Diceros bicornis minor: one gene and its partners. Each later gene encodes a partner of the first gene's protein in a complex. Links are inferred from orthologs where the notes say so. Each region holds a gene or a part of one and is shown on either strand. Other genes may lie near its edges. The genes, in order: GNAO1, HRH3, C5AR1 and RGS16.

Region 1 (6,863 bases):
CTTTAAGAAAGTAAGCTCCTGGGGCCGGCCCAGTGGCATAGTAGTTAAGTTTGCATGCTCCACTTCGGTGGCCTGGGGTTCGCAAGTTCAGATCCCAGGTACACACAACTCATCAAGCCATGCTGTGGCAGTGTCCCACATACAAAATAGAAGAAGATTGGCACAGGTGTTAACTCAGTGACAATCTTCATCATGCAAAAAGAGGAAGATTGGCAAGAGATGTTAGCTCAGGGCTGATCTTCTTCACCAAAAAAAAAAAAGAAAAGAAAAGAAAAGAAAGTAAGCTCCTAGCAGAATTAACTGGCATACACAGAGTCTGTATAAGACCTAGCACCTTGTGTACAGAAAAATCACCTGGGAGTGGCTATCAGTGCAGATTGCAGAAGAGTCTGACTTAGTAGAAGTAAGATGGGTAACAGAATTTTGAACAAGCACCCAGCTGATTCTGGTGTGAATGGTTTTGAGAAAGCATTCCAGAGAATTCACGATTTCAAGATATTAAGCTCTTAAATCTGAACCTCCCTTTGAGTCTAAATCAATAATTTATAGATAGTAGATTGTCAATACATGCATATTTACTTAAAGTAATCACAAAAAAGGAACAAATAGGGAAATTCAGTTCATCTAATCAGAGCCCACATTCTTAAGTCAGAGCTAGGGAATCTTGCTTATGTCATAAATTACTGTCCTCCAGAATTAGGAGCCACACGCAGTAAAAAAGCAACTTAATGTAGGCTTTGCTGTTGTTCCTTTTAGAGAGAATATAAAACATTCTAATTGCCTACTTTTAAAAGTAAAAATATGCTGAACAGTGTGTGTGTGGCAAGAGGGATAGTTGACTGAGGGTGGGGTAAATGAGCGGTATTCTCTGGCCAACAGCAATAATCAGAGAAATATAATTCTGAGGATCGTATAAAATAAAACCAAGTGGAATCTGTCCTTGATCTAAGTGTCTGTCCCTCAGTCCTGATATTAGGATTGTAATTTCTCCATTCTCACAGGAATTAGTTGTAGACAAACTAAACACTTGTGGTATTATCTAATTACTAATAACTCAGAGAACTGAGACGTCCTTATTTTCACTTCCTTTGGGGGGACCAGAATATGATTGGGTTCTGAGGTTGTAAGCTTTCTGTGAGTCTAGGAAGCATGCTTTATATTACATGTTATTTCTTAAATAGTCCACAAACATGTAAAAGGAGCACTGGCTTACTACTTAATGACTGTGTGACCTTGAACAAGTTACTCAACCCCTCAGAGGCTCAATTTTCTTAGCTGTAAAATGGGTACCCAGGTCGATCTGGATTCATGGTCCAGGCTCTTTCCACTCAGCCATGACTCTCCCCACACCACAGTGCCTAACTGAGGATCTGTGGGAGGATCACATGAGATAATTTTTGCAAAAGTGCTCTGTTAGCTATAAAGCACTATACAAATGAAGCAGATTATTATTAGTCTTTTGTGAAGCCCAACTATAAAGATGCAAAGTGACCCAGAAAAAGGGAGGACAAACCTGAAGTACAACATTTATAGTGCCTAGAACATTACCCTGTACATGGTAAGTAGGTGCTTAATAAGTACTGAGTGAGTACAGAAAAACACAAAACACAGGTTTGTGCCTCCACCATACCAGGTATGATACCAAGAAGGAATAAATAAACCTAAAATCAAGGATAGTTTGATTCAACCATAAAAGCCACAATGCCTCAAGAGCCTAAGATCTTAAATTAAAAATTACTTGATATGAAAGAGCATTAAAATGTAAACTATGACCCACCATCTGCAATGAAATGGTTGTATTCTTACCTCTTCAATCTTTCAGATGCAGCCTTGGGATAGCAGAATCTGGGTGAGGTTGCTGAATTTTTTTCCCTTTATTTGATAGATCTGCATAATCATCCTCGCAACCTTTACAGGAAATAACAAATTCTATAGAATGTTGGGTACCTAAGGTCTGTTTTGGATCTGGAAGGCTGATTTTTAGTGATACTCTGATTTTAAGCAAACCAGATTTATCCCCTAAGCCACCCCCCTCCCCAACACACACACACAAAAGGAGACTGCCAGAGGGGAGTAGGGAATCAATTATTTACTTTATAAAACAATTCTTTATAAGAGTCGTTAGTCTGTTTTCTAGAATATGCAAAATGTGATTCAAATTTAAATGTTCTAATTATATTATGTACAACTTTGACATAGATAGCTATTTGTAGAATGAGGCACACCCATACTGGGAAATAACAAATTAAAAAATTCAGGGGAAAAAAATATTTTCTTCTGGGTGGGCCTTAATTGCCTTTTTTTTCTTCCCCATTGCAAATGTATTTTTATGCTGGGTAACGTTTCCAAAAGAGGGGTGTTTTTTTTCTATTGTTGAAATGAAACAAACAAGTTTGCTTTCAGAGCCACAGCAATGCCCAACTGTTAAAAAGAAAACGTTTTCCACTGGCCGCTTGCCTCTCTTATCCCCATGCAACCTTTCCTATTGGCCCCTTTCTCTAGGAGGGCCCCTGGGGCTGTCTTGTGGAACTGATTGTAAAACCATTTTGTGCATGAGAACTAGTTTCTTCAAAATCTCAGAGACCACCCAGAACATGCCCAATCTTTGGCAAATGTCTATGTGTTTCCTCAGTATTTGATTAGCTGTACGCTGAGTAACCGACCCGGGTTTCTCAGTCTTTATTTAAAAGAAGAGATGGGAAAAAATATTTTAAAAGATGAAGAAAGGAAGAAAATCTCTTTTCTCACCAAAAATCTATTCAAATTTCATTTTATGTATTTGTGTTTTGGGAAGGGGCAGGATAAGAGAGTTCAGCGCAAAGATCTCAACGAAGCTAAACCGTCCAAAAGAGCAAAAGCGTTTCAACTCTGTATTGAGGGAGTAAGCATTTGCTAGAAGCTCACTCGCATGAAAACCTGTCCTCCCCTCCAAAAGCTTCCCATGGTGGGAACTGTCTCCTGCGCTGATACCTATGGCCGGGAATCCTGGAGCAGAGTTCGCGATGGCAAAGGGAGGCAGGCAGAGGCTCCCAGAGAACAGGCCCTGGCTTTGTCTCATCCTGCTGTGTTCCCCTGCTCACAGCCTCCTCTCTCACATACTAGGTGCTCAATAAATGTGGGACGCAGGAAGCGAAAAATCCGAATCTGCCCCCATGCCCCAGAGGCGAATTATCGGGAACGCAGGTTTACTCTGACCCACTGTCTCCTCGCGTTTGCTGAGGACGCTCGGCCTCGGCTCTACGGCCCCAGCAGCAGGAGCACAATCAAGAAGGCGAGCTGCTGGAGCCAAGATGGAGAGGGAGCCGGAGAGCGAGAAAAGTGGCGCGGGGCGCGAGCCGGGGGACCCGCCTGACCGCCGCGCGGGCGGCGCGGCCCCGCGCTCCCATTGACAAGGAGGCCGGCGCAGCGGGCGCGCGGGGCGGGGGCGGGGGCGGGGGCGGGGAGGGGCGTCCCGGCGCGCGCCCGGCCCCAGGCCCCGCCCCCACCAGGCCCCGCGCGCGCCCACTCGGGGGAGCTGCGGGCCCGGGGAGCGCTGGAGGAGGGGAGGCCGCGCCGAGCGCGCGCCGCCGCCGGCTGACGCGGCCCGGGCGCGCGCGCCCCCTGCGCCCCCCGCCCCTCCCCGTCCCGGGGGCCCGGCGCGCGGCCCTGCTGACGTCAGCGGGCGGCTCGCGGTGCGGGGTGCGCAGAGCCGCTGGCGCACTCGCCCCCTCCCCCGCCCGGGCTGTGGCGCGCGCGCTCTCCCTTCATTTTCTTCTCCCCTCCCTCCCAGCCTCTCTCTCTCTCCCCCTCGAGCTCCCGGCTGCCCGCGGCTCCCTCGCGCCCTCCCTCTCTCTCCGGTAGGCTCCACTGAGCGATGCGAGCTCTGGGAGACAGCGACGCCGCCTCCCGCTAGAGACCTGCCCCCGGCCCGGCCCCCTGCCCAGCCCTGCCCAGCGCGCGGGGGTCGGCGAAGGCGCCGCGGACGCACCGACGGCTCAGGACCGGCGATGCACATGCACTAGCAGCACCCCCTCACTCGCTCCCTCCACACCCCGCGCCGCCGCCGCCGCCGCCTCCTCCTCCGGCAGCAGCGGCAGAAGGACCCACCCTGCCCCCCACCCCACCCTCCGCCGGCTCGGGCTGCGGCTCCTGCCTCGACTAGTATTTTATTTAGTTTGGGTCGTGCACAAGCCTCAGTGCCTGCAGCCCGCGCCTCCACGGACCGCGGGCGCCTCCTCCCTGGGCTCCGGATCCCCAGACCCCGGCCACCCTCGCCTCGACACCCCCAGAGCCGCGCCAGCTGCCGCGACTCTCCGCTGCTGGAATCTTGTTAGCGGCTGTCTTTTTGGGGGGTTCTGGTTTCCCGACATTTTTGTTTTCTGCCGAGGGGAGGATATCGTGATTTTTTTCCCCTTTGAGCCCAGGCTCTGCTCTCTGGGGGGGTGGGGGGCGCGCCGAGCCGGGGAGCAGTGCCAGCCGAGTCGTGCGGGCTGTGGCAGGGAAGGGGCCACCATGGGATGTACTCTGAGCGCAGAGGAGAGAGCCGCCCTCGAGCGGAGCAAGGCGATTGAGAAAAACCTCAAAGAGGATGGCATCAGCGCCGCCAAAGACGTGAAATTACTCCTGCTGGGTAAGGACCGGGGCTGCCACCCCTATCCCCAGACCCCGGCCCCTCCGCACCCCCTCCGCCAGCTCCCCCACCCCACTCGGGCCCGGGAAGACCTGGTCCCGAGTTGGCACCACCATGTGCCCAGGATCGCCCACCCCCTCGCATGCCTTATCCCCCTGCCCACCCCGTTCCCCTAAGCTGACACTCACCAGTTTTTCCCCCCTGTCTGTCCCAACAGGGGCTGGAGAATCAGGAAAAAGCACCATTGTGAAGCAGATGAAGTAAGTCCCTGTGCCATTGGGATTTGTACTTTTATTAAGAATAATTTTTTATCATTTGTGTTACCTTGCTCACTCTACATTGCTCTCCGGGCCCAGTTTTTAATTCGTGCACACACGCACACACACACACACGCACACACACACACACACAGACCTGGGTTTGACTCCCCTCCCCCACGCCCAACGTTGGTTCTGAGTCCTCCACCCCAACTCCCCGGGTGGGTGTTTTTTGGGGGGGGGAGGGAAGGGGAGCGCCTGTAGTTGTATGAATGACAGTGTCCGCCATATTGATCAGAACATCACACTATTGGCATGATTATGATCATTACTCTTGCTCGTGGGGTGTTTCGTGTGTATTGATGCCTGCATTTCTGTCTCTGTGTCTCTGTTTCATTCTGTCTCTATTTCTCTCTCCTCCTCCCTCCACCCCCCACCCCACATCCATAATCTCACTTCGCCCTGCTCTCCTCCTGGGGCAGTGATTTTGAACTTGGCTAAAACACGGAGGGGACCCAGCCCTAGACTGGGGTGGATGATCAAGTGTCTGCTGTTCATGGATTTGGTGCTGAATTGGAGACTGTGGTTTCTGCCCCCTCTCCCCCCAAAAAGAGGACGAGGGTTAGGGGAGGGGGCGTGTGGTAGGGAAGGGGGTGGGGGTTTCCCAGCTTATGTGACTGGCACAGCTGTATCCAAGGCAGAGGTGGAAGGGGGACACTGGCTGTGAGGCTGAATGCCCGCCCCTTGCTGGCCGCCCTTCCTCCCCCACCCTTCCCAGCGTTCGCTCTCCTGACACTGGCAGTTTTCTTTCACTCTGTGGCCTTTATCAATGTATTTATTTACACTCTGCATAGGCCGTGTTCCATGTAATCTACCCCCAATGCGGATTTCAGGCCCCGCTTGCCGCCGCCCCCTTCTGCCTTAGATATCAGTTTCCCCTCCTAATTAACTGGGGGTGGATTTGAGTGATGGTTGAAAATTAAAACAAAATGGGATATTTCTTCCCTTCCACACTTTCTCGATAAGGAGCCTCGCCCCTCCTTCCCACTCTCGGGCTCGCTTCTGGCCCCATGCACTCCGCTCGGCAGTTCCTGGTGAGCCCTCAGGCAGCTTTGCTGGGGGAGGGGGTGGCCGGCGGGGAAGGGGTGCGCGCCCGCAGGGCCTCCTGGCCCTGCTGCTTCCGTTGGCCTGTCGGTTCGGGACGGAGGAGTTCGTTAAGACCGTTTAGCGAGGATTCCACGTCGCTTTGCTGTGACACCTTCGTGCACACACAGCTCCTAATTAGAGGTTGCTGTGCAGTAAACAAAAATGATTATTTTTCAACTTGACAGCATAGGCGAAGTAATTGCATCCCGTAGGAAAACAATGGAAAATAAAAACCCCTTTCGTGGAAAGGTGGGTGGGAGACGAAGCATGCTTTTGCTTTCAGAACAAGATGCAAAAAATCTTGCATGTGTAACAGGCATGACAAGCGGGTTCTAGGCGGCGCCATGATGGTAGGGAGTAGCGACTCGGAGACAATTTCCCCCGTCTGCTTGACGTGCTCTTATTTTTGTTCGAGAGCTCCCCGGGGCTTTCTTTGCAGAGGCCCCCTCGGCTCGCCGCACCCCTCTGAGCCACGGGTAATTTGGCCTGGGGCTTCTCTGGAGCTTGTGCAACCCAAATGGACGGGGAGGCGGGGCCTGGGGAATTGCTCTTTGCAACAAGGTGCATGTTGCATCTGCCTGGAACCCTTGCAGGTCGGTAAATGCAAGCAGCGCCATCCCTTTCTCCCTAAGGGGGACGTTTCAAAACTTCAGAAGTCCGTAATCTGCAGTGGCGGGCTCAGCCGGGTAGAAGCCCCAGCCACTGGAGCTGGGTGAGGTTTCAGGCGTTGCGAGTGGTGGACAGCGCCCAGCCGAGGCCGGAAAAGTCGGTGGGGCTCAGCTCGGCGGCACTCGGCTCGGCTCGCCCTGTGCTGGGCGCGGGGCTCGCAGGGACTCGGTAGTGCTCGGAGC
Region 2 (7,520 bases), on another chromosome or scaffold:
CAGCAGCCCCAGCAGCCTGGCACGGCTGGTGGTGGGGACGGCTGGGCCTCGGGCGCGGGCTCAGGGTCGGCCGTCTCGCGGGCCCCGTCCAGCCGGACGCGAGTGCGCCTTTGGATGTTCAGGTAGATGCTGAGGTTGAAGAAGGTGACGCTGAGGAAGGGCGTGAAGAACTCGAGCGTGGAGGCAGTGATGAGGAAGTACCAGTTGTAGAAGAACTCGGCATAGCAGTGGCCCTCGGGGATGGAGCTGCCACCGGACAGATACTCCCAGCTCAGGATGGCCGGCCCATACAGCAGGAAGGCCAGCACCCACACCAGCACCATTTTCCGCACCGCCCGCCTCGTGTTGCCCTGCTGGGCCCGGTAGGAGACCTGCGGTGGGACACGCTAGGTCAGGAGGGAAGGGGACTGAGCCCAGGCCGGCAGGCTGCTGCCTACTGTGGCAGGAATATTGGCCTGGGGGCTCCTCGGCAGCCTCTAGGCCTCTGTGCACTGCCTTCCTTCACAGCGATGCCTTTTCCTTCTCCTCCCCACCCTCTCTCCCCTCTGTGCCATGCATCTTGGGCTGGCTGATGCCCTGTCACATTCTCCTATAGCCTCAGAACCTGCTCCAGACCAATCTGAATGCTAACTTTGTGCCAGGCTGCCTGTTTAGCACCCCCACCAGCTGTGCGCTCCCGGGGGGGTGTCTTGTCATGGTCCCCTGTCTACTGAGTACCCACTGTGCACCAGGCTCTGTGCTCAGCACCTTTTGGATATCATCTCACTTAATCCTCAACAACTCCGTCATTATCCCCACTTTCCCGATGGCTCAGGGAGGGAGGGAGAGACCACAGGAAAATCCGCTCCAGGGGACAGAGCTGAGGTTTGACCCAAGTCTGTCTGACCCCGACCTATGCTCTCTGCACTCTGTCCCACAACCCCTCTAGACTGGGACACATGTGGCACCCCCAGCAGAGGGCCCTGGGGTGCCCGATAAGCCATCAAAGAGAAGATGAGAAGGCAAAGGAGAGACCTCCGTGCCAGTGCAGCTGTGTGCCCGCACGGCACTGACGCAGGAAGCTCAGGTCCCTAACTCATGGTGGCCACTCACACCAAGCGAAGCCTGTGAAGCCAGGAGCCAACACCTGTCTTCCAGGGGCGCAGACATGAGCGCACACGCGCGTGCGTGCACGCGCGCACACACACACACACACACACACCCCTGTGGTGGGGAAGCACCAAGGACCTCTGACCCAGATCCTCCCTCGGCTCCAGGGACTTTGGACCTGCCCCAGGGTGGAAGCTGAAGTGACCCCCTTCCTTCAGGAACACCTGATGCCGGGTCCAGACTGTGCCTCCTGTGTGTCCCAGGATCAGTCCTACCCGCAGCAAATGGCTACTGAGTGGGCAGCCAGCCATAGAGCACCTGGTGTGTCAGGTGTGAGGTCAGCAGGGACCAAGCCCACCTGGCACCACCTACAACTAGGAAGGGGGCAACCTTTGCCTGGTGCCTCCTGTGGTCCCCCTTCCTCCAGGAGTGAATGTGGACACCCTCATCCCAGACTCACGGCGCGAGTGACCGACAGGAAGCGGTCGTAGCTGATGAGCACGATGTTGAAGACGGAGGAGGTGCAGAGCAGATAGTCCACCACCAGCCACAGCTTGCAGACGCCCCGGCCAAAGGGCCAGCGGCCAGTCAGCACATAGGGCACGTACAGTGGGATGCAGAAGGCCCCTGTGGGAGAGTAGGGCATGGTGGGCCAAGGCTCGACAAGGGCCTGGGGTCAGACCCACCACAGTGGAGAGACAGGCAGGACCTGGGAGTCACATGGTGGCCACCTTTCTGGGACCAGCAGCCTTCACCTTACCCACCCCTCCACTTGATCCCCTCAGCACACCTTCTACCCTGCACTTGCCTTCAACCCCTGCCCAGCCCCCAGTCCCACTGGAGTCCCCTGGACTTGGGCGCAGGAGGGAAGCTCCAGGCATGGGCAGGCACCATGACACCCCGAGCCTTAATTTGGTACTTCCCAGGCTTTGTTCAGCCTTCCCAGTCCCCAAAGGGAGGAAGAAGGAACATCTCCTCCCCTCTCTGGCCTGCTGGACCCCTGCGCCTCCCCTGGCCTTTGGACAGCTCTTCCTCATCAGCTCAGAAAGCGAGAAAGCCTTTCTCCTGACTCAAAAGGCGCTTGGCCGCCGCCCCGCCAGCCGCTCCCACCGCCAAGCCCGGCTCACAGCGCTGGCAGACGCACTTCGCAGCCCCAACAGGTGTCTGGCGCTCCGGCCCCCTACGCGCCCCGCCCCCAGCTGGCAGCAGCGCACGGACACGTGAGAGCGCGCTCCTAGAAGCATCTCCCCACGCCTTCCCCGGTCCCCTCCCTCAACACTCTAAAAACCCCCTTCCACGTCCCCTCCCCCAAATCTCCCCCCAGCGCCCTCCGCGCGTCCTGAATCCGCCGCAGCCTTTGTTTGGCTACAACGCAGGAGCCAGCGCTGCACCCGCAGCCGCTGCGCCTTGCGCCTCGCCGAGCGCCTGCCGGCGCAGGCCCCTTCCCGGGGAACATCCCTCCCCAGCACCAGTCCCACAGGCAGGGAGGCAAGGAACTTCGCCAGCGCCCACCGCCCCACGATTCCTGGACGCCTCCTCCCCAGGCCGGGCCCCCTGACGGGGCGTGTGCCCGAGCGAAAGGCACCCTAGGTCCGAGCTCCAGTCCCCACTGGCCGGGCGGGGCTGGGCGCTCCTGCGCTCGGGCGGCGACTGGGGGCTTTACCCACGAGGAAGTCGGAAATGGCGAGGTTGAGCAGAAAGAAGTTGTTCTGGGTGCGGAGGCTCGAGTCGGCCACGAAGGCGAGCATGACTAGCGCGTTGCCCAGCACCGTGGCCACGATGAGCAGCGCCATGAGCGCGGCCAGTACCGCGGTCCAGGCAGCGGAGAAGCCGCGCGCCCCGCCCGCCGCCGCCGCCTCGCCCGCCAGCGCCTCCGACGCGTTCAGCGGCCCGTCGGGCGGCGAGCGCTCCATGGCCCCGCCGGCTCACGCGGCGCCGAAGCGCAGGGCAGGGCGCGGACCGCCGGCCAGTCGTCCGGGAGGGGCCCCGGCCCGGGAGCCTGGTCTTTGCGGGCTCTCAGCCCGGCCGGGATCCCCGGGCGGTGCCCGGCGCATGGTCCGTGGGCGCCGAGGCCGGGGCAGGGGCCGGGGCGGGCGGCACCGAGGGGGCCCGGGCCGGAATCCGAGCCGAATGGGGCCAGAGGCACGACCACTGCAGCCCGAGCGGACCCGGAGCCGAGCCCGACCCGGAGCCGCCGCCAGAGCGTCGGCGCGCCCCAGTGCAGCGCGCAGCCGAGTGCGCCCCGCGCCCAGCCCGCCGCCCCCCGCGCCCCGCGCAGCGCCCCCGCCATTGGCTGCCGCCCTCGCCCCGCCCCCGCCCCGCCCTCGTCCCGCCCGGCGCCGGCAGCACCACGGACAGCGCCGCGTGCCCGCCCGGCCGCTGGAGCCCCAACCCCGTGCGCACGGCTGCTGGCGGGGAGCCCGGCCCCGGCAGGGCGGGCGCCGCGCTGGGGGCTCGCCTGCGGTCGGCCGGCCCGCGCACACAGGAGCCGGCCTCTGGGCCGCTCGGACTGTCCCGTGCCCTCAGGCCCGCTGACTCCTGGCAGGCCTCCGTCCGGATCCGGCGCACCTGCAAGGACCTGGAGTGGGGGCGGAGGAAATACCTGCGCCCGCGCGCGGGGAACCTGCCCCGCGGGACCCGCCTTGTTTCGCGCTCGGGCAAGCGGGTCTTGGGGGAGGGAACGTCCCAAGGAGGAAGGATGGGAGGGGTCTCCCAGAGCGCGTGCGCTGGCCAGGGGTCCACGCCACCCCCACGTGCATGGGACTCTGGGTCTCAGTCTCCCCGTGGGCCCAGCGCAGGGTCCAGGGTGACTTGCAAGGCGCAGACAGATGTGGAGTTACATAAGGGAAGATGGGGAGCCAGTGGACCCAGCCAGGAGAGGAGCGCTTCCACCTGGGGCTCAGGCGGCCGCAGGCTGAGGACGGAGCAGCCAGCGACTCGGAGCCCGGCCAAGATTCCCCCTGGTGGACAGAGCGGTGAGGCGGTCGCTGCTGCAGGGACAGACGAGGTCACTGTGATCGGAGCACAGCGAAGGCGGCGGCAGCGGCATTAGCGCCTGCGGGTATGGAGGAGGAGAGGCGGCAGGAGGGAGAGCCCCCTCCCCCCAGACACACGCTCAGATAGACAGGGTCAAGGACAGATTCAGCAGGAGACACTCACGGCGAGACAGACAGACACGCCCACACGCAGACACACAGACACCTACAGACCAGGGAAACAGCCGCCCAGCTAGGGATCCACGAATGGCAGTTAGACACCCATCAGACAGCAGACAGCGAGGGAACAGTGCCTGAGGGAGAGGGAAGCAGTGACTCTCTGCTCTGTCGCCAGCGGCGCACATCTGCAGAAGCCTCAAAGAGGATGGGAACATGAGTATCTGCGTGTGGGGGTGGGGGCTGCGAGGCTGCCGGGAGGAGAGGAGGGGTGGCAGACGGCCCCCGAGGCACTGGCATGCACGGGCACCCCCACACTTATAGCAGCTGTCTGATCATGCCAGGACCCACCCCTTCCCCTAGCCCCAAGAGGTGCTTCACAAACTTTGGGGAGTGGGGGCTGGGCTCCCTCTACTGCCTCCTCAGGGTTGCTTGCAGGGAGGAGACCCCAGATCCTGCCCCAGCAGACACTCTTTCACGGCTTCTCGCAGCCTGTGCTGGGGGATGGGTGGGGGGCTCCAGCTCATCCTCCCAGAAGCTCTTCCTGAGTACTTGGCTACACTCCTCCTCTCCACCAGTAAGCCCTGCTCCTCTTACAGGCTCCCCCAGCTTCCCCTCACTGCACCCCAACGTGCCTGGTGGGCAGGGCTGTGCCAGGACCAGGCAGCTGGTTGATGGTGAGACAAGCCGGGGTGGAGAGTTCCTGGAGGGGCAACAAGGTGCTGCTCCCATCGTCCGCGACTTCCTGAGCCTCTGGTGCTGAGTTAGCACTCATGGACCCCTGCTCAGCCAGCAGCTGCCTGCTGAGTGGAGCCCCCAGGCCCTGCTCCTCCCCAACTCCCCGGAGGCCAGCTCTGGCCAGACAGTGCTGCAGGGGTGCTCCCCTGCCCCCGGGCCTTGGGAGATGGAGTTGGATAGGGGTTGAGAGGGGGGCTCTGACTCTTTCAATCACTGGCTGGGAGCCCCCTCCCCAGTCTCAGGATCCCCACTTTGGAATGGAGACTGTGTGCTGCTTACTGTCAGGGTAGAGGGCTGAGTCAGGGGGGAGTCTGTGTAGAGGGCGGCCCCTTTACAGTCTCAGTCAAGCCTAGCCACAGTTGTCCTTGTGGCTATCAGTGTTCTGGGGCTTTCCTTGGTGGTCTCTCACCCACAGCTGGGGGGAGAGATGGACTCAGTTCAGACCTGGGCACCGGGGGCCCAGCTGTGTGCCTCGGGGGAGTTACCAAATTTCTCTGAGCGTGGAGATCTTCCTCTGTGAAGGGAGGCCACCAGGAGAGGGAGGGCCAGGATTGGCCCAGAGGTTTGAGGATGACCATGGCCAAGGGTGGTGAGCACCCCCCATCTGCACTTAGATGCATGACCTCATTAGCTCCCCACTCCCCCTACAAGGAGAGTAGAACCAGTAGCCCCTGTCCAGAGCGGGGAAGCCACCTACCTGCCCCAGGTCACACAAGGCCAGATGCTGTTCTCTTAATGGCTACACTCCTGGCCCTGAGATCAAGGGCCCTGAGGCGAGCAAACGTACCAACTCTTAGAGCATTGACCTAGTCTGGACAGGAGCCTGGTGTCCTCTGGGCTGGACCTAACTTGGCCAAGGCAATTCGGAGTGAATAAGGCAGGTCCCCATGTGGCTGTCCACAGGGCATCTTGCCCTGGGGGCTCTGACCCAAGGACTGGGTATTCAGGCCCCAGGATGGCTGGGAACCCTCCAAGACGCTGGGAAAAGCTGGCTAAGGGTTGGGGGACAAGGGCAAACCCCTACTCTCGGCTCACCCAGACTCCCTCAAAGAGAGTGGCCTGGGACCCTGGTTTCTTCATTTGTCAAAACAGCCGGCATCTGGGGTGCAAATTGTCTAGTCCAACAAGGAAGCCATTGGGCAAATGCCCCATCCACACAAACCGTAGCCAGATTAGCCAAACCAGACCCCCTGCAAACCTTCCCTAGGAGATGGCTCCCCTACTGACTCATCAATTGATTGGTTCATTTGTCCATTCAACAAGGTTTTATTAAGCACCTAAATTCAGGCTCTCTGCTAAGTCGTTTTAGTGTAGGGAGGCAAGTGTAACGCAGTAAGTAACGCACACGTCAGAGGTTACAAGTGCTCTGGAGAGAAATGAAGCAAGGCAGGGGACGGGGAGTGCCAGGGCACGAGGCCCAGGGGGCCGTGGGGTGTAAGGGGGTGCAGTGAGCTGACAGCCCCCAGTGGCAGTGCCTTTGGGGTCTGCTGCTGTGTTGCAGCTGAGACGAGGGACACATCTTTCCAGTGGGCAGAGCTTCAAGCACCTGGTCATGCCCTTTGTGTGGACGGAAAAGTGGCCCAGTTGAGAATATCTATGGATTCAGGGGCAGTGGCCAATGTCCTGGTGGGCTGGTCAGGGGCCTGGAAGGAACAGGATGGAGGTGGAGACAAGGGGCTCTGGGCTGGACCACATGGATGGACATGTGACTATGGGCACCAGCATGAAGGTTTTTGTGTCACACACAAACACCCACCAGGAAGCATCCACTAGGAAGAGGTGACAGCAAGCCCCTGTCATTGGCCACCCATAACTGGCATGACAGCACAAATGAAGTGGTCTCGCCAGAGGTCACGCATGGACCAGGAGCGTGGACTCCCCCCTGCAGAGGCTGATCTGGCCACTGCCACCTCTGAGTGTCTGACCCACCACCGACTTAGACCAATGCTGAGCCCCCAGTTTGGCACCTTCCCTGAGGAGAACAAATCACCACCTGGTGGTGAGTTGACTACATTGGGCTGTGTGGATGGTCCTCACATACCTGCTTAGGTGTGGGCTTGCCTCATCTGCCCACAGACGCTGCACCACAATCCAGGGCCCCATGGAGGCTTGACCCATGGGCATGGAATCCCATACAGCACGGTACTCAACCTGGGGCCCACTTCCCAGAGAAGGACGCGCTAATTGTGTCGCCCGCCACACCATCCCGGAGCGGCTTGCTTCACAGGATGCAGGAACAGCCTTCCAAAGGCCCCCCCGCATGGGGCAATGCCTGCGAGGAAGGGCACCATCCTACAGGATGCAGTGTCCAAATCAGAGACATGTACCTGACACTGCATTTCCAACAAGAAGAACACGGTTGTCTAGGATCCTGGGTGGAGGCTGGCGTGGCCCCACTGGCACCCCTCCCAGCGACCCACTAGGGTATTTGTGCCTCTGCCACTCTGGGCTCTGCAGGGTTAGAGGTGGGCTCCCCAAGGGGCACACTCTTACCAGGGGACATGGGAAGGGTCCCGTTGATCTTGGCTACGGCTGCCTCCT
Region 3 (7,732 bases), on another chromosome or scaffold:
ACCACAGGTCTTCCTAACTACTGGTGAAAACAAATCTTAGCAAGATAAGGATAAAAATCTTTTCCTTCTTCCTCCACAGTCTCAGGAAAGCAGGCATGGTTGTGCACCATAAAAATGCCCCTGTAAATGTTATTTCTAACAAAGGAACCTTATAAGACATCCAAACTTCAGATTTTGCTGTTATGTTATTATGTCCTAAGTAAGTAACTTTTAACCCCTAAAAAATCTGTCATTAGCATTGGTTGTTGTGTAGTAAAAAATTTAGCCTTGCCCAAAGAGAGCTTTGGCCTCCGCCCTCGGCTCCTGGGAGGTAATTGCTAAGCCCTTAGAATGTCCTGCCTGATAAAAGTGTCTTTGTTTACCTGGGGTCTTAGGCCTCTCCAGTTAGTCTAACAATGTGACTTATGGTGGGAGCTTTGGGTCCTGTGGTATCAGCTGGACCTCCAGAGGGGCTGCAGACTGAGATCAGCCATGCTGGTGGCCAGCCAGGTCTATGTGACCAAACTCCAGCAAAGCCTGGACACCGAAGCCCGGGTAAGCTTCCTGGTTGGCGATGCTCCATCCATATTGTCACACACTGCTGCTGAGAAAAAGGTATCCACGACTTCTCTGGGAGAGGACAACCAGAAGCTATGAGTACAGAATGCTCCTGGGTTCTGCTCCGTGCGTCTCTTCCCTGGGCTGACTTTAATCTGTACCCTTGCGATGTACTAAACTGTAACCATGAGCACAATAGCTTTCAGAGAGCTCTGAGAGTCCGTGTAGCAAGTTATCAAACCTGAGGGGGGGTCTTGGGGACCCTCAAACATGCCATCGGTGTCAGATTCAGGGTGGCCTTGGAGCCTCCCCAATTCTGCAGTTGGTGTCAGAAGTGGGCTGTTTGGCTTTTCACAGTCATCTGACTTAATAGTGTACGGCCCTGGTAGTATTATTTGAATTGACATCCCTGTTTTCTGGAATATGTAAATATGTGTGAATTTTCTTTGGTAAACCAGAAGAAAATCATTGGCACATCCTTTTTCTCTCATACATTTTCCTCTGCTAGATTTCTTATTGAAGCAATAATAAATAAGATTGCCTTATTTAAATTAAAGCTGTCCTTCCCGATGCTGTTTGTGACTGGCTTCTAATTGTCCTCTCCTATGTATTTTCCCATTTGTCCACTGGCATGGAGGTTTAACAGGACACAGGAACACCCAGCTCAAGACTGAGTCTCTCAGCCTCCCTCGCAGCCAGGTGCGGCCAGGAGACTGTGTTCCAGCCAGTGAGCTGTGAGTGGGAAGCCACTTCTGAGTCTCGCCCTTAAAAGGATTGGGCATCTGCGCCCCCGACTCCTTTTTCCCTTCCTGTCGGGGTGTGGTGAGAGCACGAGCAGCCACCTTATACCCCAAAGTGGAAGCCATGAATTGCATATGATACGTGATAGAAAAAGGAACTTAAGCATTAACACTCGGAAACGGCTCTCCTTGTCAAATCGTGTGTGCACCGTGGCACGGGGCTCTGACTGCCTGGACAGGGTACCTCTTTATAATTCACACAAAGGCTCCGGCTGGGGTGATGGTGGCTCTATAGTGCTGTCCTATAAACATATAATGTGAGCCACAAACGCAAGCCTCAGAGGTAATTTTAAATTTTCTAGTGGCTGCGTTACCAAAGTAAAAAGAAACAGATGAAATAAAAATAGTAGCATTTTTAATAATATAATTATTATATGTTAGATTAATATCAATGATATTAATGGTATATGAATATATCATAGTCATATCATAGTAGTGATATTTGTTAGGTTGTTACCTATAATGATCTTTAATATGTAACAATAACAATAATATAATTAATAATATAGTTTGGGGCCGGCCTGGTGGTGCAGTAGTTAAGTGCGTGCGCTACGCTGCAGCGCCCTGGAGTTTGCAGGTTCGGATCCTGGGCGCGGACAGACGCACCACTTGTCAGGCCACACTGTGGCGGCGTCCCATATAAAGTAGAGGAAGATGGGCATGGATGTTAGCCCAGGACCAATCTTCCTCAGCAAAAAGAGGAGGATTGGCATTGGATGTTAGCTCAGGGCTAGTCCTCCTCACAAAAAAAAAATAAATAAATAAAATAATAATAATATAGATTGCTTAACCGAAAATATTATTTTAATATGTATTACAATATAAAAATTCTTGAGATCTTTTACAATCTTTTTTTTTGCAGTAAGTCTCTGAAATCTGGTGTGTGTGTTGCACTCATGGCACATGTCAATTCAGACTCTGCACATTTTAATTACTCAGTAGCCACATGGCTGGTGGCTGCTGTACTGGACAGTGCAGGTCTCGGTCTTCAGGAAGAGGATGGAGAGACGCCAGCATAAAGGTTACAAACATTGAGAATGGTGTCCACCCACTCTGCCTTGCAATTCCATTTCTGGAGAGTTATCTGCAATAAATCCTTGTACACAGGCACCAGGATGTGTGGATGAGGGTGCTCGCTGTGATGTGAACAAAAATATCGGAAACCACCGAAAGTTCCACCCACAGGGAAGTGGTTTCATAAACAGGTTTCAAACTAACAATGGATTTATGATGCTACTAAAAGGAAACAAGGTGTTTTTCAATGTATTTACAAAAACATTATTCCGAAAAAAAAAATAGGGATAAAAACAGTGATAACAGCACATGATTGGAACAATTGAACAAATTTGCATGAAGGCTGCGGATTACATAATGGTGTTGTATCAGTGTTACACTTCCTTCAATAGTTGCACTGTGGTTATGTCAGAGGACATTCTTGTTCTTAAGAGACACACACTGAAGAATTTAGAGGCAAAGAGGCATGATGGTTTCACTGTAATCTCAAATGATTCGGGGGAAAAATGCAAATAGATCTGTAGATATGGAGATGGGTATGGACCTCCCCCGTTAATTTCCTGGGCTTGCTACCCTCAGAATTGCGGGAGCCAATTCTTTAAAACAAATCTCTCTCTCTCTCACTTTACTATTGCTTCTGTTTCTCTGGAGAGCTCTGATGGATACCCCCTTCCCCTCCCCCACCCCACACACGAGTATACAGTGGGAGCATACTAATGCACGCGGCGCAGATGCAACAATGAGTGAATCCGGGTGAAGGGTACGCAAGAGTTACTTTAACCCTTCTTGCTACTTCCCCTTAAGTTTGAAATTACACCGAAATTAAAAGTTGCCAAAAAGAAAAATATTCTGAGAAGGGGTTCATAACTTCACCAAGGGTCCAGGGCATAGAAACTGTTGAGAATCCACGATTTAAGGCAATGCGCAACTTGGGTCCAAAATCCTGAAACATCAAGAGCGTGTGGCCTGGCCGCCTGAGTCTCCCCGGGCTCAAGCGCCCCCTTGAGGTCCGAGTCGGAATAACAACACCGCATTCCTACCAGCCCCAAACCCCCGCCAACGCACTTGCAAAAATCCTTGCTGAGCCATGCAGACCACACGCATGGCTTCATTTAGTGGAACTAAATCTTGCTGCACGTCGTGCACCCGCATGTCCATTCCCAAGCAAACGCCACGTTTGTGCAAGTCTGGGCGAATACACTCCAAACCGCTGAGAGGAGTTTCAGAAGGGCGGCGGTCACGGGATTTTTCAGTGGTTTTTTTTTTTTTTGGTGGGAGGAGTGCGTTTCTGGATTGTTTACATGTTTGCAATGTGCGTGGGTTACTTTTGCAACGAAAAGGAAGCTAGATCCTTACAAACTGAAGGTTGCTGTAGAAAAATACTATTTGCGGAGGGAAGATGTGGATGATGTATTGCAGAGTTGCAGAAAAGCCTGGGGAAAATGAGCCTGTTTCGTGCTCTTTGTGATAACCATGACCATTGTGGGAGGCGGGAAAATGGGTCCCAGTGAGGTCCACATCCCAGTTCCTGGAACCTGCTGCATGACCTTAAAGAGCAAAAGAGACTTTGCAGATACGTTAAGGATCTTGAAATGAGACTATCCTGGATTATCCAGGGAGACGGTAAATGTAATCGCGAGGGTCCTTATATAAGGGAGACAGAGGGAGATTTGAGACACACAGTGGGAGAGAAGATGCGACCACAGAGGCCGAGGCTGGAGTGATGTCCACAGGCGAAGGAACGCTGGCAGCTGGCGGAAGCTGGAATAGCCAGGCGGAGATTCTTCTCTAGAACCTACAGAGGGCGTGTGGCCCTGCAGACCCCTTGATTTCGGACTTCTGGGCTCCAGAACTGCGAGAGGATAAATCCCCGTTGTTTTAAGCCCCCTGGTTTGTGGCAATTTGTTACAGCAGCCATAGAAAACTAACATAAGACCCTTCCTCACGCCGGGCTCCAGCCTGTGTCCGCGAGAACTCAAAACGAGGCTGGAAAGTATGGTTGTGGCTCGAGGGACGCCAACGTTACAACCCTAGGGAGGAAGATTTAATAGTCCCCAAGTGCTGGGCCACCCCCGCAGACCTGCTTAGCCTCTCTGGGCCTCCAAGAAACCTGGATTGAGGCTCACAATCCCCGCTGCCCGGGACCCCAGGAGAGTTTAAGCCAGTTAGAACCCTGAGCTGCCCGGGGCCCTAGAAGGAAAGAGAGAGATGGTCTCAAATGGGGAAACTAAGGTCCAGAGAGAGGCCAAGCCTACACCGGGGTGGGGGTCTCTTTCATCTGGCTTCCTCTGTCCTCGGACAGGAACTTCCTCAGTTCTCTGAGCCCTGACCTCCCTCCTCTGACTGGTGTTTAGAGCTCCGCGGGTGTGTGCCCATAAAGGAGTCCCAGATAGGGTGTCCAGTGTGCAGACCAATGAGAACCCCAGAGGCGACAGATGGGTCATTTCCTCCCTGGTTATCTGCACCCTCCCTTGGGGCCTTAAAAACCACAGCCCTCAGGCAGGAGGGATCTCAGATCAACGGGGAACCCAGGAGACCTGAATATGGTGAGTCTAGAAGGGGACCCTTGTACCGTGCTCTCTCCTCTCGGGGCCCCTGTCTCTCTCTCCAGCTCTCCCCTTCTCGCCGTCTCTCCCATTCCTTCCTGCTTCTCCCCATCCTCATTCCCCCCGTCTGCCCTCACTCTCATCTCAGACTCTCCCACTCCCGGGCTGGGATCCAGGAGTCCCCCAGGGCAGGAAACCCTTGCTGTTGCCTCTGATAAGATGACACCCTTCCTCAAGGGGAGTCGTCCAGGAAAGGCCTTCCAGGCAGCGGAAATGGCAGGAGTGAAGGTTGGGAGGCTGGAAAGGGCCAGTCTGGAAGAATGGTGAAGTCACGTGGACTTTCAGATGCTCTGAATGGTAGAGATGGGGAAACGGAGCCACAGGTAGGCACGGAGCTGGCCAGGGTCCTTCAGTGGTTGGTGGCAGAACCAGGCTGTCTCCCAAAGAGGGAGACTGTCTCCAGGCTAAATGAGGGGCCCCCTTGCACACCTGCGCCCTGAGGTCTGTGTCTCAGCGACGCAGGGCTGTGATTTAACACCTGCGTGTAGAGGATCTTGTCTTGCTTCATCGGGGTGAAAGGGGAAGTGGAGAACGTGTTGGCTGGACCAGGGAGGGAGTTGGCTCATTCTCCTCATCCCACTTTCGAGACCCGACCTGGGCTTTCAGAAGAGGGCCCATGATTATCTTCAACTTCTTCCATCTATAAAATAGTCCCACATACCAAAGGGGTAGTCGGTGGAAAGCCACTCTCCCTGCTCCCCCCGGCCCCCCCCCCCAAGAGCCTCAGACTCCTTGTCACTGCCCCAGAGGCAACTGTGGGTACCAGTTTGTGGTGTATCCTTCCAGAAATGATTACAGGTGCTCCAGGGAATGAAGTAAGGAGCAATTTGACACGGGGGGTCAAATTGAAATGTGGTTCAAATTCCGCCTCTCCTGTGTGATAGCTGAGGAGACCTGGCTTTGCTGGGTGTCCTTCCCCTTATCTTCTTTTTTTTTTTTTTTTGTGAGGAAGATCAGCCCTGAGTTAACATCCGTGCTAATCCTCCTCTTTGCTGAGGAAGACCGGCTCTGAGCTAACATCCACCCCAATCCTCCTCCTTCCCCCCCCCCCAAAGCCCCAGTAGATAGTTGTATGTCATAGCTGCACATCCTTCTAGTTGCTGTATGTGGGACACAGCCTCAGCATGGCCGGAGAAGTGGTGTGTCGGTGTGCGCCCGGGATCCGAACCCGGGCCGCCAGTAGCGGAGCGCCTGCACTTAACCGCTAAGCCATGGGGCCGGCCCCCTTCCCCTTATCTTTATGATATGGCTAAAAGTCCTGCAGAATTAGAGCCTACATCACAGGATCATTGAGGGAATTAAATGAAATAATGCATGGAAAGATCTTACAACAGTGCCTGGCATACAGTTGGCGCTCAATGCATGTGACATGTTTATCCCTTCTCCACCCCTTTCTCTGCAAATAGAAGTATGTTTTACATATTGTTTTACATCTTGCTTTTCTTCATGAATCATGTATATTATTAACCAGCATTTATTGAGTGCCTACTGCATGTGCTATGCAGTTTACATTTAATAATTTCATCTTAACCTGTGAGGAAGGTACTATTATCATCCCCATGTATTTCAAGGGAGTTATCTCTTTCTTTTTATCAGCTGTATAATATTCCAATGGGAGCTTCCATCCCCTATCAATGGAGATTTCGGTTGTTTACAATATTTTGTCTTTCACACCAAAACTATATCTTTGGACCCATGTTTGGGTTTCCAAAATTGCAAATGCTGAATCTAAGGCAGAGGTGATTTTTATTTTAACAGATATCGCCAAAAGCTGTACCAACTTATATTTCCCATCTACAGTGCATGAGACTGTCTGTTTGTCTACACCATCATTGCACAGTTATATCAAAGTTTTTTATTTTTGCCAATCTGAGAGGCAGTTCATTGCATCCTCAAAGGATCTGGAGGCTTGTCTTTTTCACATAGTTTTAAAAACGTGTGTGTTTATGTTTCTTAATGCATAGGGATTGGAATCACAAAGGTCGTGCAAATTCAGGAAGATAAATCTGAGTTGAAATGTCTGCCCCCACCCTTCTATCCCGTTTCTCAGAGGTCATGGCCTATAATAGTTTCATGTGGTTCTGTGGGTGGATTGTTTAAAGACTTTGTGTCCCTGCAGGAAGAGGGAAGGGGATGTTTGGGGGAAAAAAGAGGACTTTGCCTTCCGTGTGTTTACTGGCTCTGGCAGCGTCCCTAAGTGGGTCTGTTGTTTTCACTGTGATGGGGGGACGGTTGGTAGGACTTTCTTGCCTGAAAGGATGGGGAAACTGAAGCCCAGAGAGGAAGGGAAGGGGCTGGGGCAGGGTGTACCACGTACCAGCCGCATGACTGTGGCCCAGTCATGCCTCTTCTCTGAGCTCTCAAATCTTAACATTTTTCTTCCTCCTCTTGGCCATCACCGCCACCCATCCCCATCTTCACTGGCCTGGGTCCTCGCCCCAGCCTCCTCTCTGGTCCTTCTGCCTCTAATCTCACCTCCTCACAGCGCCCAGAGGGATCTTTCTAAACTGAAACTGTAATCTGGTCCCTCTGCAGCTCAAAAACCATCCATGGCTTCCCATTACCCCAGGAGTGGCATCTGTGGATCTTCCAACCTAGTCTTGGCCACTTGCCAGCCATAGTGACCTTCTTTCATTTTCTAGATGAGCACACTTCCTCCCTCTTACCTTTTGGCCTTTTGCCTTGAACGCATGCCCCTCACTTCCACCGTACTTTAGGCCTGGAAGCCACTCAGAGAGGGCTCTGGAGTTCGACTCTCAGAAGTTCTCTCCTATC
Region 4 (7,604 bases), on another chromosome or scaffold:
TTGGTTACATGGGTGCATACATTTGTCAAAACTCATCGAACAAACTGTACACATAAGATCTGTGCATTTTACTATATGTAAATTATATCTCAATATATATAAATACAGTTAGTTTAGTGAAAAATATCTTTTAAAATGAGTAGTACAGGAAGGGGAGGGGCCTTCAGGCCGAGAGAACCTCATGCTCAGGGGTTTGTAGGTGCAGGCAGCATGGTGACTGTGGTAACCTGCCGACCGCTGAGTTTGGCTGGCTTTTAGGGTGTGAGGTGAAGCATGTGAGATCAGGTGGTTAGAGCCTTCTATGCCATAGAGAGGAGTCTTGACATGATCCTACCAGCCACGGGTACCACTGAAGAGTTCCAGCCTCCTCCCCAGGTGGCTGAGACTGCGCTGCCTTGGAGGCTAGGGGTCCATTGCCCAGTTGGGTAGAGAGAAGCAGGCCTCCCACATTCCCATCCCCTCAGAACTCTGCCCGGAGGGGAGGGAGGGAGGAAAGAGGAGAAGAAACCAGAGGAATAGCACAGCCGTCAACTTGCGCTGTACCCAGTGCCCTAAAAGGTAATCAGGGAAGAACAGGGTTTCCTACACCCAGGCTGAACTCGGTCAACTCTCCTCCCCAGGAGGGGAGGCCACCCACAGTTTTTGTCCTGACCCAGCAGGGAAATGACCCCCAAGGACTGTCTTTTTCAAGTCTTCAGGTATGATCTCTCCCTCCTCATCCAGCATCCTCATGATATGTGCTGCCACTGCTGTTCTTATGCTTCCGAAGCTAGAAGTGGCACCCAACTGTGCATCCTGCAGGCCTAAGCACCTCTGCCAGGGAGTAAGGAATTCCTAAATCTTTCTGCACCTTCGCTGTACCTCCAAACTACAAGAGGCTTTTCCTAGCTATTTCTCCCACTTGAAGCGTGATCCCTCCACGTCCCGCATATTCTGGCCGTTGTCCATGGCGGCACTCAAACTCCTCTGACTCCTTTTTTAACGCTGCTGACCCTCTCTGACCTCTCCCTTACCTGGACATCTGTTGGGACGCCAGGCAATAATTTCCTTTCACCTCTCCCTCCTCCTATGTTGGTTCTGTTTCCTCAGCCAGGGGGAAATATAAGGTCATTAGAGTCAGGGAAGAGCCTCAAGAGCTGTTATTTCCCCCACCGACTTGGGAACAGAGTAAATTCTTAATAAATATTTATTGGTAGATTGTTGATTGAATTTGGAACATCCAGACCACTGTGGGGATCGTCTGTGCCAAATCAGAAGCTGAGAAAATGTTTTCAGCAAAGATCCAGTCTAGACACCCATCTCAGTGGAAAGGGTGCTGCTGGGGGTCTGAGGGGCTGAAGGAGATGGAAGGCAATGTGGCCGGGATGTTGCAGGATGTTTAATCCTGACCCCAGCTTTGCCTGGATTGCTGACCCCAGATGATCCAGGCTGCAGAGCTGTGTCCACACACCCTCCATTAAAGAGAGCGCAGCTGCCCTGGAAGCCCCGGGCAAAAATGAGGTCAGGGTCTGTCAAAGCTGAGGCAATTCAGGGGTGAGCTCAACCTGCTGGATTTACAGCAACTGTTGAGTCATTACTGAAATTTCCGTTATGAACTGACCTACCTGCTGGGAAGAGAATTTGGGATAAATTGTGAACTTCAAAAAGTTTCTGCCTGGAAACTGAAGAGGTAACCATGGCAACCGGGAGGCAGGTTGAACTCAGAGAGGGCTCTTCATCTTGAACAGGGAGCTCTGTGCTCCCGGATTGGATTTGCCTGTCTGCATGTGCCCCGCTCATCAATCCTTTGTCTCTTTGCTTTCTTTGTTGAATGGGAGAAAGCGCTGGCTCAGGGATCTGGAAATGGGGCCCTGGTTTCAGCTGTTTCCAGTTCCAGTGCACTTGACTCAGGGGGCCTTAGGCACCGCTGTATTGTTGTCTGCGAAATGTGAATTAAAAAGCTCCTCTGGCCTATTCACGGGGATGCAGAAAGGACAGGAAGGTTTGAGGAGGTTCTCTGTGTGATCGCTATTGTTGTTGTCACGGGGCCATGTCTGGGCTGATTCCAACGTGGCGAGACTGGCGGTTCAGTCCATCCGTAAACTCGTTTTTGTCGCTGGAAGAAAAACTGTCCCAGACACCGCCCACACCCCCACCTGGCAGCTGCATAATAAATACGTGCACTGGGGCACGAGCAGCACCAGGTGGAACAACAACCCTCACCTCAGCTGACAGACTCCTCCAGCAGAACGTCCTGCTGATGGGGCCGCGTGGGCTGTGTCATCGTGTGGATGAAGGACTGTGCTGAGAAACACAGACCACTGCCCCCCTCTCCACCCTTACCCATCTCCCTGCACCCATGACTCCAGCCCTGGACTTGTGAGAGAGGAAGAACAAGAGCCTAGGTTAGCGAGATGGGGGTGAGGGTGGGATGCTGGCATCTGAGACAGTGCTGCCAATGTGGGAGCTGCTGCTGGACCTGCCCCTTGCTCCACTAACCACTGGGAGGTTGGCGAAGGGTTCGACTCTGGCTTTTCAGAGTGCATTCTGTTTTGACCAACCGGCTCATCTTCTGCAGGCCCTGGCTTAACAAGGAAATCTGCTTTGACAAAGGACCCCACACATTGTCTGATTTGGGCCTCTCTTGCTCTAGCAACGCCTTAATGACTGTCTTGTGGGCCTTCTTCTTCTCTTCCTCTCTGTGGTTTTTCTCTTGCCTTCCCCGACTAGCTTTTCTGGGCCTCCTCACCGAGCTCTCTCAGGTGGGGAACCTCTTCTCCTCTTGTTTCTCTCCTTTCTGACCCTTTACTTCCAGGACTTGCTGAGGAATAGCAGCTCTTAGATGCCCCTCATGAAATAAAAGCCTAAATTCCAAGAGACACAAAACTCACTACTTCTCATTATTGTCTAGCAATCTCCGTATCAAGTAAACCTGGGAGCTAACATTTATCGGGTGCTGACCGCGTGCTGAGCGCTGTTCTAAGTGCCTTACGTGTTGAAGGTGCCGCGGCACACCGCACAGAGCCCTGTTTGGGACTGAGGCCCTCATCCCCCAGCCTCCAGCACGTCATCTGCTGCAGGCTCATAGCGCAGTCTCTCTCCAGGAGTTCCCTTGACAGAGGGAGAGTTGCCTTGCCTAAGATGAGGCCATCTTCTTGGGGCAACTGCATCCAATGAAAGGTTGACGAAAGGACTGCCCCCTTGCCTCAGTGGGGGACAGCTCCAAAGGGCCGTGCCACTCCAGAGCATCCCCTGGGAACAGCTTCTGTCTCTGTTGCAGTGGCATGGCATTCAACTCCTCCCTCTGCCCAACCCGGCTTCCCTCACTCTCTCTCAGTTCCCAGAACTCTCCCCAGCAAGTCTCTGCCTCAGAAGAACTGTTTCCTGGAGAACTTGAATTAAGAATTAGCTTATTTAGACCTCACAACAACTCTATGAAATAAGTGTATTATGTTCTCATCTTAGAGACGAGGAAACTGAGGCATGGAAAGGTGAAGAAGCTTGCCCAAGGTCTCCCATCAGTAAACAGTGGAGCCTTGATTTGAAACCCAGAAATCTAGCTCTAGATCCCACACTCTTAACCTCACATGCAACCCCTTGGTAGCAATCCCAAAGGGAACAGAGGGACAATGGGGGAGGCTGTAATGCCTTTATGGGAAGGTGAGGAGAGAGGCAGAGCATTTACCACATTTATCTCAGAGATGAGATGTGGACACTGAACTAGCAACCGCTTAAACCCAGGATCACTCATCAGTTACAGAGGTAGCGGGATTCTAATTTTGGAGGGGGTGGGGCAGTGGAAAAAGCATGGTAAATTCGTATTTGAATTCTGGTGCAACCCTTACTAACTGTGCAACTTTGAGTAAGTTATTTAACCTGAGTCTTAATAAAAGTGCCTGGTACATAGTAGATGCTCAATAAAGCCTCCCCCGCCAAGTGTCTGCTATTGCCAACTGTGATCTGGGCAAGTCTCCAGCTTTCTCAGTTTCTTCATCTATAAAATGGAGGTAATGATGAGATGATGCTAAAGGGCTTCCTTAGCTCTGTGGCCATCCGGGTAGGAGCATAGTAAATAGTAGTTATGAGTATAATCATGATGCTGTCTTGCCTGGCTTGCACTCTGCTTCTGTCCTTCAGGACCCAACAGGCTCAGGATCCGGCTGTGATCGATAACTTGTGTGCCTCTCAGACCTGCCCGCCACGTACCCCTCCTTTCCGTCCCCCCCCCCCCCCCCCCCCCCCGCCAAATCCTCCCGTCCCCCGTGAGTCGCCTTCCTCCTTTTACTGGAGCCCGGAGGGTTTTTTCCTATTAAGCTGAGTGTGCGCATCTCATCTCCGTGTGACTTCTCTGCCGCTTCTCCCTCCCCACACCGGCGTCCACCCGGGGGAGGAGCGCGCAGCCCCGTGTGCCCTCAGGTGTGAAGTTTGCGTGCGGGTAGGGGAGGCGCAGCCCGCGGCCAGGCGCCCCGCCTCCGCCCTCGCCGCGCTCGGTCCCGCTCTCCGATTGGTCGGCGGCGCTCAGCCTCGCCCCGCCCCCTCCGAGAGAATAAAAGCCGCGGTAGCGCCAGCTCCTCGCAAGCAGCTCAATAAACGCAATTTGCGCGCGCGGGTGTTAGCTGCCGCTCCTCTGCCTCGTCGCGCTTGCGGTGGCCGCTGAAGTCCGCCACCATCCTCCCCACGACGTGCTGCCCTGCACCCGCAGCCATGTGCCGGACCCTGGCCGCCTTCCCGACAACCTGTCTGGAGAGGTAAGAGGAGCTTGTCCTGCTGCCTGGAGGAAGAAGTCCAGGTCCCACCAACATTTAGGGAGTGGAGTGGCAGGCTTGGGGACCTGGGTGGACGGGAGAATGGGACGCTAGTGACTTGAGAGGCAGAGGTCAGCTTGGTTCCATGTTCTTAGATGCTTCCCTAAGAATCTTAGGGAAGCCATAGGCCAAGACAAGGGAGGAGGAAAGGCAAAGGGAAGCAAAGGGACTAGTGCTTACTGCCATTCCCCATCCTCTGACAAATGGCAGTCCTTCTTAGGTGACCTGCTGAAGACCTGGCTGCAGGAAGACCACGTTGGCATCACCAGGCAGAACTGAGTCTTCCCCAGTTTCTTCAGCACGTGGTTTTCATTCTATAGCCCAGATCTAGGGGCATGGCCTCCTCTGGCCCTGGGAAGCAGGGAGGTGTTTTTTGGGTCCACCAGTGAGGGATGTGCCGGCTTCCCAGAGAGCTACTCAGCCACCTCCCATTCTTACTGGAACTGGTGGCTGGGAAGGAAAGGTAAAAATGAAGGCAGGAATCAGTTTCCACACAGTTCCAGAAATATTCATGACAAGCCCAGAGGGTGCTGAACTGCCTTCTGCTAATTAACAGGCACAGAGATAGATCAATGTGACTTAACGTGGGAAAAAGCCCATGTGTGCAGTGCTGGAAACCCAGAAAGCGTACGACCTACCAAGGAAAAGCTCAAACATTGCTTTCATTGTTTCTGGCTTCATGACACTAATGAAGGAAGCAAAGTTTAGGCCCTGGGAACAGCCTAGGGTTCCCAGGAACCCTTGAGGCTAGAATTTGGGTGGCACTAGCCTGAGCTCTTCTGGGACCCCATAAACCTCTCTGCCCTGGCTGAGCAAATAGAGAATCCTTACATGCTCACGCTTTGTCTTCCAGAGCCAAAGAGTTCAAGACCCGGCTGGGGATCTTGCTTCACAAATCAGAGCTGGGCTCTGATGCTGGGAGTGTTGGCAAGTTTGAATGGGGCAGTAAACACAGCAAAGAGAGGTAAGTCCTGTTCATTAGCTGAGGGCCCCTAGAGGGAGGGAGTCAGATTTAGGAAAGGAGTCATGAGAAAATACAAGGAGAAATTAGGACATGCTAGGGCAGACCTTGGCGACCCCTCTCTGGAGATTTTGCTAGAGCTTCTTGCTGGTCTGCTATGGCTGCTTGGCTCATGGGTGAGTGGGTGGGTGGCTCCAGGGTTCTAGGTCCACCAACAGATGAGTGTACCCAGTGTCTGGATGTCTAGTTACCAGACTCTCCCACCTGGAGATGTCATTGTGCATGCAACCGAGGCCAGGACAGGGTCTGAGGCCCCTGTTTTTTAATCAATGACTGTACTTCCATTAGCATGCACCTTGCCTAGAAACCCTTTCATTTTGAACGTCACCTATGCTAGGTGCTGTGCTAGGCTCTGAGGTTATGGGTAGACATAATCTCTATTCATGAGGCCCTTATTTCCTTGGAGAAGTGTACAAAACAAAACTCTGCGAGTCAGGGGAATGGAAACAATTTTGGATGCAAGGAGATGGCCTTAGAAATATTTACTGAGGGCCAAAAGGTCCCTGGCTTTGGTTTCTGGTTCCTAAATAGTCCTCTGTTTCCCCTAACCCCAACCAAGAGTTTGAGGTGTCAGCTCCAATAATCACCGAGCAAACCTTTGTGTGAATTATGCAACTCCCCTTGGATTCTGACTAGGATTTGTGCTACACGTTAGTTTGTTGATTTTTTTTTTTAATTAAAATCTTGGCTTTTTTTTTTTTCCCCTACCAGAAACTTCTCAGAAGATGTGCTGGGGTGGAAAGAGTCATTTGACTTGCTGCTGAGCAGTAAAAGTGAGTCTGCCCCGTGGTGTCTGTCTGTGGAAGGCACATGTGTGCTCATGTGCTTGGGAGCCAGCCTGAGGGATGCTGAAAGCGTGGGCAAAATAATCACAGTAGGAATAATAATAATGATCCCCTAGTGTGCCAGCCTCTATTCAGAATACAAAGGCAGGTCCTTGTTCAAGAAAATTACATCCTAAAAATAGAGCCATTAACCACAATTGCTGTCTTTTCTTGTTTTATTCCTGGCTGTCCCATGGTCTGACCTGTCTCTTCCTCTCTCATCCCAACCCCAGATGGAGTGGCTGCCTTCCACACTTTCCTGAAGACAGAGTTCAGTGAGGAGAACCTGGAGTTCTGGCTGGCCTGTGAGGAGTTTAAGAAGATCCGGTCGGCTACCAAGCTGGCCTCCCAGGCTCACCGGATCTTTGAGGAATTCATCTGCAGCGAAGCCCCTAAAGAGGTCAGAGCCGTGACATATTCCATGAATCCTCCAGACCCTGCCTGCTCCTTCCCCACCGTGGTGGGGGCCAGCAGGTGAAGGATTGAGTTTAGGCGTAGAGTGGCCTTATTTGGCACAGTAGTGAGTGGGCTTCTTTCTGGAGACTAGGAAAATCAGGCTCCATGCCACCCTTGGGTGCTATTACCCTCAGACTCACAGATGGGGCCAGGGGGATTGGCAGGTATTTTGGCTTCTGTCCATACCCACTTTCGTAGACTGAGCCTTTTTTAGAGGCTCAAAAGTCTTAGACACCTGGCGAGACAGGTCATCCTAGGGACCTTGTGTAATCTGGCTCAGTCCCCTGGCTGACCTGCCTCTGGCCAGCAGGATTGTGGTCAGGGAGCTTGTCAACCTTCCTTTCAGGCCTCCACTGCTTGGTGTCCACACTCGGTTAAGAACATGGGGCCACCTTGTGGACGGAGAATAGTAATGCCTTGCTTCTGTGTCTTATTTTGTATTTTTTTTTCTGAGCACTTTTATTTATTCCACATTATTCCATAAAGATTTATTGGGCAGTCATTGCATGCGAGGCACTT

Evidence for each region.
Region 2: the proteins of GNAO1 (region 1) and HRH3 are in contact, whole or in part, in a cryo-EM structure (PDB 8YN7), measured with the Homo sapiens proteins. The link is inferred for Diceros bicornis minor from reciprocal best matches to the Homo sapiens genes GNAO1 and HRH3. Residues at the interface, in NP_066268.1 of Homo sapiens: Ile28, Ala31, Lys32, Asp33, Val34, Lys193, Asn194, Leu195, Asn312, Pro315, Asn316, Lys317, Glu318, Ile319, Tyr320, Phe336, Thr340, Asp341, Ile343, Ile344, Ala345, Asn347, Leu348, Arg349, Gly350, Cys351, Gly352, Leu353, Tyr354; in NP_009163.2 of Homo sapiens: Asn69, Asp131, Arg132, Ser135, Val136, Ala139, Val140, Tyr142, Arg143, Ala144, Gly147, Ile221, Ile225, Arg228, Arg232, Thr345, Phe348, Arg349, Arg352, Val356, Leu360, Cys415, His416, His417.
Region 3: the proteins of GNAO1 (region 1) and C5AR1 are in contact, whole or in part, in a cryo-EM structure (PDB 8JZP), measured with the Homo sapiens proteins. The link is inferred for Diceros bicornis minor from reciprocal best matches to the Homo sapiens genes GNAO1 and C5AR1. Residues at the interface, in NP_066268.1 of Homo sapiens: Ala31, Lys32, Lys193, Asn194, Leu195, Glu318, Tyr320, Phe336, Thr340, Asp341, Ile343, Ile344, Ala345, Asn347, Leu348, Arg349, Gly350, Cys351, Gly352, Leu353, Tyr354; in NP_001727.2 of Homo sapiens: Asn71, Phe75, Arg134, Leu137, Val138, Pro141, Ile142, Gln145, Ile225, Thr229, Arg233, Ala234, Thr235, Arg236, Ser237, Lys239, Thr240, Val243, Val244, Ala303, Gln305, Phe307.
Region 4: the proteins of GNAO1 (region 1) and RGS16 are in contact, whole or in part, in a crystal structure (PDB 3C7K), measured with the Mus musculus proteins. The link is inferred for Diceros bicornis minor from reciprocal best matches to the Homo sapiens genes GNAO1 and RGS16. Residues at the interface, in NP_034438.1 of Mus musculus: Glu64, Asp65, Gln68, Ser75, Arg86, Thr117, Val180, Lys181, Thr182, Thr183, Gly184, Ile185, Val186, Gln205, Arg206, Ser207, Glu208, Lys210, Lys211, His214, His236, Glu237, Asp238, Glu239; in NP_035397.2 of Mus musculus: Glu85, Phe86, Ser87, Glu89, Asn90, Glu124, Ala125, Pro126, Glu128, Val129, Asn130, Asp132, His133, Glu134, Leu161, Lys164, Asp165, Ser166, Arg169, Lys172.

What each region holds. Positions count from the first base shown.
Region 1 is NC_080771.1:9,765,997-9,772,859, forward strand, and holds the start of GNAO1 (guanine nucleotide-binding protein G(o) subunit alpha), read left to right. Parts: upstream 1-3,847; 5' UTR 3,848-4,491; coding exon 4,492-4,609; intron 4,610-4,826; coding exon 4,827-4,869; intron 4,870-6,863. UniProt on the Homo sapiens protein: Guanine nucleotide-binding proteins (G proteins) function as transducers downstream of G protein-coupled receptors (GPCRs) in numerous signaling cascades.
Region 2 is NC_080758.1:1,872,518-1,880,037, reverse strand, and holds the start of HRH3 (histamine H3 receptor), read right to left. Parts: upstream 3,003-7,520; coding exon 2,753-3,002; intron 1,717-2,752; coding exon 1,550-1,716; intron 372-1,549; coding exon 1-371. UniProt on the Homo sapiens protein: The H3 subclass of histamine receptors could mediate the histamine signals in CNS and peripheral nervous system. Signals through the inhibition of adenylate cyclase and displays high constitutive activity (spontaneous activity in the absence of agonist).
Region 3 is NC_080773.1:22,737,183-22,744,914, forward strand, and holds the start of C5AR1 (C5a anaphylatoxin chemotactic receptor 1), read left to right. Parts: upstream 1-4,719; 5' UTR 4,720-4,894; coding exon 4,895-4,897; intron 4,898-7,732.
Region 4 is NC_080743.1:84,786,122-84,793,725, forward strand, and holds the start of RGS16 (regulator of G-protein signaling 16), read left to right. Parts: upstream 1-4,589; 5' UTR 4,590-4,683; coding exon 4,684-4,727; intron 4,728-5,637; coding exon 5,638-5,748; intron 5,749-6,516; coding exon 6,517-6,578; intron 6,579-6,862; coding exon 6,863-7,029; intron 7,030-7,604. UniProt on the Homo sapiens protein: Regulates G protein-coupled receptor signaling cascades. Inhibits signal transduction by increasing the GTPase activity of G protein alpha subunits, thereby driving them into their inactive GDP-bound form.